Bombyx mori: one gene and its partners. The protein of the gene in region 1 purifies or fractionates together with the protein of each later gene. This does not show direct contact. Links are inferred from orthologs where the notes say so. Each region holds a gene or a part of one and is shown in the gene's direction. Other genes may lie near its edges. The genes, in order: ATP-dependent RNA helicase me31b, protein LSM14 homolog car-1 and putative leucine-rich repeat-containing protein DDB_G0290503.

What was found.
Region 2: the proteins of ATP-dependent RNA helicase me31b (region 1) and protein LSM14 homolog car-1 purify together in Drosophila melanogaster (affinity purification with western blotting; 6 studies listed by BioGRID, with this or other methods). This does not show direct contact. The link is inferred for Bombyx mori from reciprocal best matches to the Drosophila melanogaster genes me31B and tral.
Region 3: the proteins of ATP-dependent RNA helicase me31b (region 1) and putative leucine-rich repeat-containing protein DDB_G0290503 purify together in Drosophila melanogaster (affinity purification with western blotting; 5 studies listed by BioGRID). This does not show direct contact. The link is inferred for Bombyx mori from reciprocal best matches to the Drosophila melanogaster genes me31B and Patr-1.

The regions. Positions count from the first base shown.
Region 1 is NC_085118.1:10,825,160-10,829,388, forward strand, and holds the start of ATP-dependent RNA helicase me31b, read left to right. Parts: upstream 1-1,429; 5' UTR 1,430-1,590; exon of another isoform or gene 1,591-1,785; intron 1,786-1,987; 5' UTR 1,988-2,145; coding exon 2,146-2,210; intron 2,211-2,303; coding exon 2,304-2,385; intron 2,386-3,201; coding exon 3,202-3,408; intron 3,409-3,580; coding exon 3,581-3,752; intron 3,753-3,830; coding exon 3,831-3,981; intron 3,982-4,120; coding exon 4,121-4,229. UniProt on the Drosophila melanogaster protein: ATP-dependent RNA helicase which is a core component of a variety of ribonucleoprotein complexes (RNPs) that play critical roles in translational repression and mRNA decapping during embryogenesis, oogenesis, neurogenesis and neurotransmission.
Region 2 is NC_085117.1:9,020,359-9,024,668, forward strand, and holds the start of protein LSM14 homolog car-1, read left to right. Parts: upstream 1-1,337; 5' UTR 1,338-1,520; coding exon 1,521-1,641; intron 1,642-2,874; coding exon 2,875-3,288; intron 3,289-3,852; coding exon 3,853-3,962; intron 3,963-4,310.
Region 3 is NC_085129.1:17,684,474-17,688,677, reverse strand, and holds the start of putative leucine-rich repeat-containing protein DDB_G0290503, read left to right. Parts: upstream 1-1,207; 5' UTR 1,208-1,326; coding exon 1,327-1,365; intron 1,366-4,059; coding exon 4,060-4,141; intron 4,142-4,204.

The DNA.
Region 1 (4,229 bases):
CCTACTATATAGGTCTATGTAACTTAACCACTATCTTAACATACTTTTGTACTATGTTATGACAATTGACAATAAGACATTGACAGTGACAGTAGTTTTATTTTTCCAAATGAAAAGGCAAATGTGTCATACCATACAACCTAATTCTTTATATATATATTTTAATAGATGAAAAATGATAATATGAAGTGAAATAAAATGAAGTTAATTAATTAATATGAAACATGAAATGAAATGAAATGAAATGAGATGAGATGAGATGATATGGGATGAAATATACATCTCAGTAAAATGGTGGCCATTTACTGAAACTATTTCAGTGGACTTTTTGGAGGATCCCGAGAAGTTATGTCCATAGGCTTTGTTTTATTTTCCTACATTTGTGCACTTTCACAAATACTAAGCAGTTAGTAAACCACCGTTATTACGCATTTAAGCCCGAAGAAACACTAAATAGGCAAAATAAAGCAAATCCCGCAAGTTCACTCAAAGGCGGAAACAGTGCTTTTTGTGTTTGAGAGTAAAATGTTTGGGTGGGTTTACTACCGGTGGGTTTTACTAGTGGTAGGTAGTTCTTGTGAGTCTACACGGGTAGGTATCACTACCTTGCTTATTTCTGTCGTGAAAAAGCTATGCGTTTCGGTTTGAAAGGTGGAGCAGTCATACTGTAATAAATGAGACCTTAGGACTCATATCTTGAGGTAGGTGGTTATATGTACGTTGACTATGTCTATGGGCTCCGGTAATCACTTAACACAAGGTGGGCCGTGAGTTCGTCCTCCCACCAAAGTAAAAAAAATGTAATCATTCTAGAATGAAATGAAATGGAGTAAAATGAGGTATGATTGAAAAATAGCGTGGCTATTGTGTAAAATGAAAAATAACCTCTCAGTGAAATGGCAGGAATTTATTGAGAGTTCAATGGACTTTTTAAAGTGAAAGACTGTTTACACTTTTACAAATGTTGAATTGTAATATGTCATTATTAAACGCTTAAACACGACGAAGCACTAAATTATTAAACCTCGAGATTCTAGTCTTGAGTTTACCTTCCATGTCAAAAGGCATAACTTTTCGTGCCAGAAATAAGTTGGGTAGTACTTAGGACACCTGTGAGCTTATAATACGCCATACCACCAGTGAATTGAAAACTGTTTTATTTAGTCAATTTATAATTTTGCTGTTGTACTAGTGGAATAAAAACATAATAATGCCTGAGAAAGTGCATCAGCATTGAAATAGCTGGTTATGTTAAAAAAATTAATTAGATTTTTTACGAATTCCTATAATTTGATGATTATACTGAAGACATAATTTCTAATTTCATCGCACTTTTCCATTTAAAGCTTAGAAACACTCTAAAGAAAGTCTTGTGTAGGTAACGTTCTTTTTACTAGGTGGACACAATAGATAGACCAGAAAAATGTTTATGGTTTTAAATATTTTCAAGAAATCAAGGGAGCCAACATAGGCAACAAGCAACATACAGAAATAGAAAATAAAAGTGTATTATTGTCTTTGGTTGAGTAAACTCTTGTGATGTCGTCGTTGAGTATCGAGTGTCGTCACCTTTTTTAAATTTTTATCTAGGTAATTAACAACAATATTTTATAACAGTATTAATCTCAAAGTTGGAAGTGTTTTAGTTTATTAATTTTTAGGTCTTTTCCTCACAAACAAAGTAAAATTAAACGAAGCGATGGCGGCCATATTAAAAAAACATAACTGAGTTCAGTTTACAATCTTTTGTTATCTTTTCAATCTCTCCTTTTCATTTAACTTTTGGTAAACATTAATTTATTATAATACTTCTATATACTGAGCTCATTATTAGTTCTAATAACTTATCGAGTAATCACTTCATAACGGGATTTATTTACTTTGTCATATAGCTTGTTGACGCGTCTCGTAATCTTCGTTTTCAAAAGACCGAAACGGGTTTTCTAATATACTTATCTAATATAAAAATATGTTCCTCTTGTTTCAGCTATTCTGAAATACTTGGTGAACGTGATAAACTGACTAATATACGTGTCTAAAAGTGATTTAGAGAATTTATTTAGTGTTGGACTTGGACAAATAATAATTAGTGTGATTATAAGTTTCTAATTTTAGTCGTCCCTAGCTAGGGATAAATTTGGCAAAATGATGACCGAAAATAGAATTAGTTCAAGTAATCACGTCGGAAATAGTATCAGTCAAACTAAAGGGTAAGTATAAATTTAATAAAATGTCCTTTGTCATGCTAACTGCATGTAGAATCACACGAAGCAATATTCTAATCATGTAAACGCATTTTTCAGAGAGGTCGACAAAAGCATCGACGACGTTGGTTGGAAATCAAAATTAAAAATACCCCCAAAAGACAGAAGAATAAAGACTAGTGTAAGTTGGCTTAGTTACTAGAAATTACGGCCCACATACAATAGTCATTGGAATTTAGACAGTCAAAATATAACAATTTAAAAACAACTTTAGAACATTTTGTGGTATTCTACAATTGCATTATTGTTATACACGAATAATCCAGTTATACACTGAAAATTTAAATTTCCAACAAGCTTGCTTGTTTGCTTTTAAACAACAAACAAAAATAAAATTTATGGGGAAGTATAGTTCTTGAATTGTTTTATTCTGTTAAAGTAAAAGAAAAAGTATTTGGTTGATTTAATTATAAGTGATTTTTGTCTTTACAATCTCCAATCTAATACATTGTTGACAAACAGAATTCAATTCTGTTTAAATAGCTCCAATGCTACATTAATTACTACTTTAAACATTTTGTATTTATTTAGGATTTTTTTTATCATAACATGTCTATAATGCAGTTGTAATAAAATTAATCCTATTGTAAAAGAATTTTGTGTCTTTAAGCTACACTATTAATGAATTAGGTGAGTTCTATTGTCTGCCTTAATAGTAATTAATATCAAAGAGTACCTCAGTTCTTGATGCCCACATAGTAATGATGGTATTCCTTATTGATTTTTCAAAACACTTAGCAGCATATATAGTTAGCTTTATTTAATTATGCAATCTCATAAATCCAATGGTATATTCTGATTATTGGAAATATAAAATATTGATTTTTCATTTTTTAGATCATATTTGTGATTGATCATTCTTATAGATCATCATCATACATCATTTTAAGAATATATTTAGATTATAGTGGACATAATAATCAAATTTCGTTTCTAGGATGTCACAGATACTAGAGGCAATGAGTTTGAAGAGTTTTGTTTGAAGCGAGAATTGTTGATGGGTATTTTTGAAAAGGGATGGGAGAAGCCATCTCCTATTCAAGAGGCCTCAATTCCTATTGCCCTAAGTGGAAAAGATGTACTTGCAAGAGCTAAGAATGGAACTGGTAAAACTGGTGCTTATTGTATTCCAGTTTTGGAACAGGTAATTTGTTATATGTAACAATAGTTTTCATTTTTATGTTTTTAATGTATGATGAAATATTTGGATTCCCCTTCACTTTTTATAAGTGAGACAAAACAGAACTGATTAAAAAAAACTATGTTTTAAAACAAGACTGTGTAATTATTGAAATTACAAGAGTGAATTGTTTTAGGTTGATCCTAAAAAGGATACTATACAAGCTTTAATTGTTGTACCAACTAGAGAGTTGGCACTCCAAACATCACAGATTTGTATTGAACTGGCAAAACACACAGACATTCGTGTAATGGTTACTACAGGAGGCACAAACCTTCGAGATGATATAATGCGTATTTATCAAAATGGTAAATATAGATACACAAATTGAAATGGAAATAATTTCAAAATAGAAAATATTCATGGAATATACACTTTATTTCTAGTACAAGTGATTATTGCCACACCTGGGCGTATGATTGATCTCATGGATAAGCAGGTGGCCAAAATGGATCAATGCCGGATGTTAGTTCTTGATGAAGCAGACAAACTTCTTTCACAAGACTTTAAGGGCATGCTGGATATGGTTATTTCAAGGTTAGCGTTTGTTAGTTTCATGTGTAACAAATTCAGTGACCAAGAAATGCTAAATAGTGCTTCTCAAAATAAATGTCATGTGCCATCTCATAATTTCAAATACAGTGTGTGAATTAAAAACATTATTGATGGATTTTAGATTACCTAAGGAACGCCAAATCTTGCTGTTTTCTGCAACTTTCCCTCTGAGTGTAAAACAATTTATGGAAAAGCATTTGAAAGAACCTTATGAAATAAATCTCATGGAA
Region 2 (4,310 bases), on another chromosome or scaffold:
TTTGACAATAATAATCTTTTTTTTTTAGACAGAAAAAATTAAGGGCTCATACAATACAGCCAAAACTTTATGTTATTTTGGGACAACGTTTATTCAGTGTGGTCAGGCCTTACAAGATGGATCGACAACCTGTTGGAATTTTGTTATGGAATCCGTTAGATACAGGTAGTCTGATCATTATGGTGAACCTTGGCTTATGTCTAGCCGTGTATATGTGTGAGCTAATGATGATTTGAAATCAAGTCTTGCTAGTTATGTAAAAAGTAAAAGTTAGCGAAATTAAAAATAAGTTGAATATCAGAACTAGACTATAGGATAAAATTGAATGAAATGAGGTAAACTGAATTAAAGTTGATTAATTGGGAATTCAGAGAATTCAATTAACTTTTTGGAAGAAGAGAAGCCACTTTTTGAGATTTTGTTTTAATTCCCATACTTAGTCTTGAGCATTTTCACAGATGCTAAATGGTTAGTCATTAACCATTATTTTAAGCTTAAGCCTGTAGAAGCCCTAGCAAAATAGTACAATTACTTAACTTTTTTTATTGTCCTCGCAGGTAGACGAGCATACGGCCCACCTGATGGTGAGTGGTTACCGTCACTCATGGACTTCAGCAATGCCAGGGGCAGATCCAAGCCGCTGCCTACCGTTGAGTACTCTCCACAAGCCTTGAAGAAGGATATGTCATAGTGCTCGGGAAACACCGTAGAGGAGAGCTCATTCCAAAGACGGAGGGTACGTGCCAGAAAAGATCTCTGGCAGCGCACTGTGGATGAACACAGTGGCTCCAGGTAGTATGAATGAATTCTACTCCAGTGGCGGCAAGTGCGATGGTAAAAACGAGATGATAGTATCATCTTAAACAATTTCTTCCAGCGCTTTTCAATTTTTTTTTAATTTTAGATACTCCTCCTTTACCAGTCCAATTGCAGAAAAAACATAATGGTCAGTGATAATTATATATATTTAAAGTAGGTACATACTTAAAAACTGTGTAAATAAGCAATATGCGCATTGGTATACCTATAATATACCTATAATTATGTTTATTACTAATACTTAAACCCTATAAATCTATATATTTTTGTATGCCATGGAGTTAATAAGTGCTTACAACTACTAACTTAATGTCGTATACTTTTACCTGTGATCTATACCTTCAATTTCCGTTCTACTCTTGATCTGTGAATGTGAATTTTGGATCTTATAATTTCTACACCTACTACAAACGTTTTACTGGTAGCGAAGAAATGTGAACACGAATTCGGGTGAATTGAATCCACATGATATAATATGGCGCGAAGTCAGCAAATTGTAGTGTATAATCTATGGATCGCCTGTGAGACTATGCGAGTCTGTAATTTATTCGGCAACACTGGCTGTTTGTAAACGCTGCGCTTGTTGCCAACTTCCCGTCAGTCATTTTGTTGTTTGTTCTGATTTATTCGGTGGATAGTTTTTCAGTCTTTGAAATCGTCGAAAATCTTTGTCATCGAAATCGGTCAAGCAAAGTGACATAATGAGTTCTGGAATGCCTGAATTAGGCTCCAAAATAAGCCTAATATCGAAAGCTGACATTCGTTACGAAGGCCGACTTTTTACTGTCGATCCTCAGGAATGTACTATCGCCTTGGCTAGCGGTAAGCTAAAAAATGGATTCTTTCTCTTTAAATTTTTATGTAAACTATTGGTTTGCAGTTAATGTAAACGTGAAATATTGTAATGTCTCTAAAACACCGCGTTTCATCATTAATTCGCCAGAAATCGTAAGTACTCGAGAAAGTGCTAAGATTTTCCCTCCGTATGATCCAAGTTCACCTGTACGAAAATTAAACTTTATAGATAGAAGAAATCGTCATAAGATAAAAAGTTGATTCTTGCAGGACATCATTTTTTTTTCTACCCTCTTTAAATGAAATAGAAATGTGCCTTTGATTGCGTTTACACATTGGTGACGTTGTAAACTGTTCTTGCCGTACACCGTATATAACAATTGTTACATTGAACACGTCGTATGAAACGTCTGAATGACTAGCTATATTTAATAAAAAAAAATGTTATATTGGAATATACACCGTTGACCTTGAAAATCATATGCTAACTACCTTCAATTCTTGTAAGATTAAATATCCGATAATCTATTTTCTAATAAGTTTCATATTAGTCATTTGATTTTGGTCTACCTACTATAAATGTAATGTATGTAACTCAATTTAAATTAATTAAACAATACATCTTTTATCCTCTGGAGAGCTACATTTCCACATATACTGTACAATGCACAGTCTAAAACATGTAATGGGTCCATACTAGATAATATAAAATTTAAATATGTTGGTTTTCTCTTCATAGTCCCATGAGCTTTAATCATAATTCAGAAAAGGGGAATAATTTGAAATGGAAAAATTATTTTTACATTTGATAGTTGTAAATTTAAAATTATTACAAAATCAATCTTGAAGTTTAGTAGTTATTGAAGCTTGAAAAAAGTCAAGCATGAAATACATTTCCAATCATCTTATACAGCTCTTGATGGTGTATTTACAGGCTTGTATATGTTATTTAGCATGCGTAGCTTGATATCCATGGGGTAACCATTATTTGCAATATAATTATGCCTCAAAAATTAGTAAATGTCTATTGTGGATACAGAAATGGATTAGATATGATTTGATAATAGTTGGAATGAATTAGTATATGTATGTTGTTTTATCATGATTGGTTATGGTAAAACAACATACACGGTTGAAGACCAGGACAATGCACAAGAAGATGTATATAAAAAAATTAAATAATAGTATATAGTGTAAAGTTTACGTCATAGTTAATTTTCAAAGAAAACAGATTACTAACTATTGTATTTTTTCTTTTAGTGCGTTCATTTGGCACGGAGGATCGAGAGACTCAATATCCGGTAGCACCTCAAAGCCAAGTATATGACTACATTCTGTTCCGTGGTTCTGACATCAAGGATATCAGGGTGCTAAATAATGTTCCTTCAATGCCCAATGATCCTGCCATTATGCAGATGTCTGTACCCCCAACTCTGGGTACTGGACCAGCTCCTGGGCAGTATGTGGGGCAGTTTAACCATCCAGTTGTTGGACAAACTCCATATCCTCAGTATCATCCAATGGCTGGCTTTCCAAGTGGAGTTCACAACCAGCTCAACAAGACGAGTGAGTTGTCTCCTCAACAATCTGTGGAACTGGCATCACAAGCTCAGCCTGTAACGGCTCCAATTGGTTCTGGAGTGAACCACCACTCCAACCAAGTGAAAGACCAAGGTTTATTTTTAATGAGCATTCAGCTTGAGCTTCAACATTACTGCTTATTATATAAACACAAAGCATATCATCTGTAGCTAACATAATAAATTTTGGTAGCATCTTGATGTGAACAAAATTGTGACACAGTAATACTAATAAGGTCAACAAATTATTCAAAAGAATTGTTCTATGCTTCTCTAAATAAAACTAAACTTTACATAAAGGTTCTACTGTGTAGATCATACTTTCTAAATGGCCTTTTATAGTCTGGCATTAACGTCAGAGAGCTTATAAATGTTTTATGGTTCAATAAGTATAGCATATTAATTTAATTGTTAAATTTAAACCTTTATATTCCTTAAGTCTACCATGATTTTCAATGTAAATAACAAAATTGCTTTTAAAAGCTTCTGCTCCTTGGTCTGTTACTTGTAAAAATGTTTGTGTATACTTGTAATTTGTTGTATCTACATAATCTGTGTAATCATCACAATATGCATAGACTTCATTAACTAGCTTTGCTTTAATATTTAAATTACATTCTATTTAATTAAAAGCTTTAGTGTGAAACAATTATTACAGGCTCAATGCTTGACCTCATTGGTGGAGGATCCCAACAAAATGCATCTCGGTCAGGTACACCTGCTGTCGGTGTTCATAGGAAAAGTCCAACAGCTGACCAAAGCATTCAGGTGAGTTATTTATTACAAACACCAGTCTTAAATAAATAAAAAACAATCAAGTTATAGTATATATAATTGGTAATCCTATGCAGTGTGGTTGGTCTAGAAACTAACAAATATCAAGGCAAAAATCACAGTAAAGGATATTATGTGGATCCAAACTAGGACCATGGGAACCAAAGATAATTTAAATTGATGATATAATATGTAGATATTAAACATCCAGGTCAAGAATAAACAAATCTGTTTGAGGTTGAATCATCAATGAAGAACATACCCTGCCATTGTGTCACACAAATAGACACAATATAGCACTGAAATATACACACTAGATGTTTTAAAAAGGAAAAAAAACAT
Region 3 (4,204 bases), on another chromosome or scaffold:
GAACATTAACGAACAAACGACGAACAAATAATTAAAAATAAAAAAATCCGAAATTAAAAAAAGGGGGCCAAATTTACAGAGCCACATTGTACCTTAATAAGTTTTTTTGAAGGGATTTTATGACCTGGTAACTGAGACCTTTAAGTCATGTCTTATTTTAATTTATTTCATATTTTTATGAAAAATTATATTATGAAGTGAAATGAAATGAAGATGATTAATTTGAGACATTAATCAACTGCGATGAAATTAAATGAAATGAAATGGGATGAAATATAATCTCAGTAGAATGGTAGTCATTTACTAAGATTTTTTTCAGTGGACTTTTTGGAGGATCCCGAGAAGTTACGTCCAGCGGCTTTGTTTTATTTTCCCAAATTTGTGCACTTTCACATAGGTACATTACAAGCAAGCAGACATATTTTGATTAACTCAAGAATATGAAATAATATGACCGATGTGTACAAGGAACTAAATTACGAATAGACGATGAATTACACAGAATTATTAACCCTAATATTACACGATCAATCTACAGATACATTTTTGTTTTGTCGAATATAATTTTAATATTATTATTATTTTAATATTAATCTTTAGTCTATTACCTAGTAAAGTCCCGGAGATATCATTCATTCAATTAAAAGAATTGTAGTGGATTTCCATATTATTGCATACATGCCATAAGGAAGTCACATAGAGCGTTTTGTTTAATGAATTTCAAATTTAAAAATTGCGTCAAAGTGTTTCGTATACACTATATTTTTGCAATACAATAGACGCTAAAAGCAGTAATTGCAGTAAATCTACTGTCATTACACTGCGTTACTGTATGACACAAACAAAGTAGGTTACTTGGAACATAATTTTTTCTTTATTTAAATATAGCTATCGGATTTTGAGAATTTTTGATGTCATTGTTGCCAGCAATAGTTAATTTTATTTTCAAATTACAGTTTCAATTACAAAGTACATTACTAAACTTGGCTCTTTATGTAGGTATTTGAAAAGAGAAGAGGAACTCAATAAAACGAAGTTGATTCTATCGATCAATATCAATTGGGATGAAACAAAATGCGATAAAATTAAATACTGTGTCTAGAGATTTTAGTAAGTACGTTTATTTATATTAAACACAATGATATTTAACAAACCACCGGTAGTTCTATCCGGAAAATCTATTCCATTATCAGCATGTAGTGTAATTAGTCTATGCATTAGTGATAACCTATGATCCGCGCTCAACTGTCATGGCGGCGGCCGCCATTGCGACATATGTGTGTGACAAGTCATGACATTTATGTACAAGATTTATGAAAAAATCCAATGGCAGATTCATTCTTTGGGTTCGATACTTCATTATCGGTGAGTCTAATAACTGACTTAGATAAATAAAAAGTTAAATTGTAGCAGAAAGTGCTACAAATAAAGGCGCGCAAGCATCAGTGCCAACACGCCACACTTCAGTATGCTTATGTTTCTAAGCTAAATGTTTGCTTTTTTATCCTTTAAAGTCACATTAAATAGTTTTTAGACAATTGTTAAAACAAATACAACTTATAATTTGTCTAACTTATAAGTTTTATAATCAAAATAGTCGGAAAATTCGCCAATTTTAACATTTTAACATTGACCGAACTGTCAATCCAATAGCTATAATAGCTTTGTTTATATAAAATTTTGAGTTTTGAGAAAAACATGCCACTGTATTTCTACCTAAGTGCTGTTTATCTAACGAACTCATTGTGAATAAGAAGCATAAACTTGCCCTTATTAAAACAATTAAGTTATCAAAACAAAATTGATGCAAGTTGTGAAATTCAAAATGTTACATTTTATGAAAAGTTTTCATCATCACTGTTATAATACCTTTCACTTTACCACGACAATTTTATTATTGACTCGAAATAAAACAGCGGGTTATCAAGATTTACAGTTTCGTACCTGCAAAACAGAAAAATGTTCTTTATAATATTTTTCACAATATAAACTTTATAATATTTTTTGGAGCTAGAATGGAAAGTTTGCAATACCTTACCATGTTGATTGCCCGGCGCATTTTCCATGCCCAAGCGTAGTTAGTGCCTGTGCAAATCAGAAAAATGTTCCTTATATTTTCTTTCAAAAGAAAGTCGCACAATCGCGCGCTTGCAATACAACAGCTGCCCCATCCTTCATACCAACGCATTACTTTTTCTGGGCAGCAACGTGCAGAGTGGTAGTACCAAACGTGAGGACTGATAAGACATCGTACCGCCAGTAAATGCACAGATCATATTTTTGCGATTTTCGTTTTATTTATTCTTTCAACTTGGAAGTGTTCCTTAACTATGTATTTTATTAGAAAAATTTGTACTTGTGTGCGGGATTTGAACACCGTTGCAGTCTTATCCTGCAATATGAATACAGCGGGTGTCATCTTTTAGACCATAATGACTTCATATTGGATGTCCCAAGGGATTCACCAGAGAACAGGCAGCCGTGATCCCTCAGTGTATTATACCAGTTATATCAGTAGACTATGTTTATTAGCCAGCGTGTAGCGGGCTGTAGAGTGTATTCGAAGCCAGCATGCTTAGGTAGCAGTGAAAGTAGCCACATATGTTTTTTTTAAATGATCCAGTAATTTAAATTTGCCAAATCACCATCTGGCAGGGTTCATCTCCATCTTCTAGAAATGCTGTGCTAACCATAGAATATTGTTGTTTTTGAAATGTATTATTTTGTTTGAGAATGAACTTCACCTGATAAATCTGCTGTCAAAGTGCAACAGTGACCTACATACATAGTGTAAATATAACTTTGTTATTTCTGAAATTGCATTTAAATCTGGCACACATGTAATGTGTGTAAGCATTGTATGGTGTGGTATGGCTCCATATGACACATCCTTTAGTATATTCAATATACATTATTACATAATAATAAAATACAAAATAGCTATGTTCAAATAAATGCATATTATGATGATGGTTGTAGATGGAGATTTAAATTAAAATTAGTTTTCATGAAGAGATAATCGAAAAGTATTAGTTGTCATTTGAGACTGCCATGATCACACATATTCCAGAGTCCTGAACTTGGGCTTGCCTGGTGTCAAGTGGATACCGGAGCCCATAGACATCTATAACGCATTAGCCGCGACCCACCACGAGATATAAGTTCTAAGGTCTCAGTACAGTACAAACCGAAATGCATTGCTGCTTCACGGCTAGAATAGGCAGGGTGGTGGTATCTACCCGTGCAGACTCACAAGACGTCCTACCACCAGCTAACTTAAGTCACAGTCGTTCTTAGACTGATCTGATATCACTTCAAATTGTTGGTAAATCCAATTTGAAACAAATTTAAATTAACAATTGCACCTAATTACATATAACCATTAAGGGGATACTATAAATAATGATAAAACCAAAACAATAATATGTTAATGGTTAAAGAGTTTAAGATTAAAATCCTTTGTTCTTATATTCATATCACAAATGTTGACTAAATTGATTTATTTAATTGACTTCACTTGACAATGTGTGATAACAGAGGACTACCTCATTGATTTCATTGTTGACATTTGAAGCCTTGCAATGTTTTGCATGTTTCATTTTATTGCATTTTCGAATCTCATTGTTCTAGTTCATGAATTTTGTAACATTGATCTCATATGTGACTCCTAATTCAAAGTAGTATTATGTAAAAATTATATTGTACTCGAAGTTAGTCTAAACATTGGCTCGCTTCCCTATTCATGGACCATATGGTATTTGTTTCTTTTAGTCAAACATGTAATTAAAAGAAAGATACATCAACGCTTATGTTATAAAGTTTTTAATGTCGTAATATAATCTAAAATAATTATGAATTGTTGCTAGTCACTCTACAAGCTCTTTTTTTTTTACTTTACTACTCCGGATACAAATTGTTGAGCATCTACAATTTCATTCAAATGACCAGCTAAAAGGCTTAAACATTAGAAATGCAGTACTAGTATATTAACTAGCGACAATAAGATGTCCTAAAACTAGTTCAACCAGTGTATTTGATACACAGTTTTATTTATTTCAGAACTTAAATGACGACGAAGGTTGCGCAGAACCCTCAGAGGACGAATACGATGCATTGAACGATGAGACATTCGGCCATGGATGTAAGTGTGGAACCATATATTTTGTTATTGTTGTATGTCAAACCATATCTTGCCATAATAAAT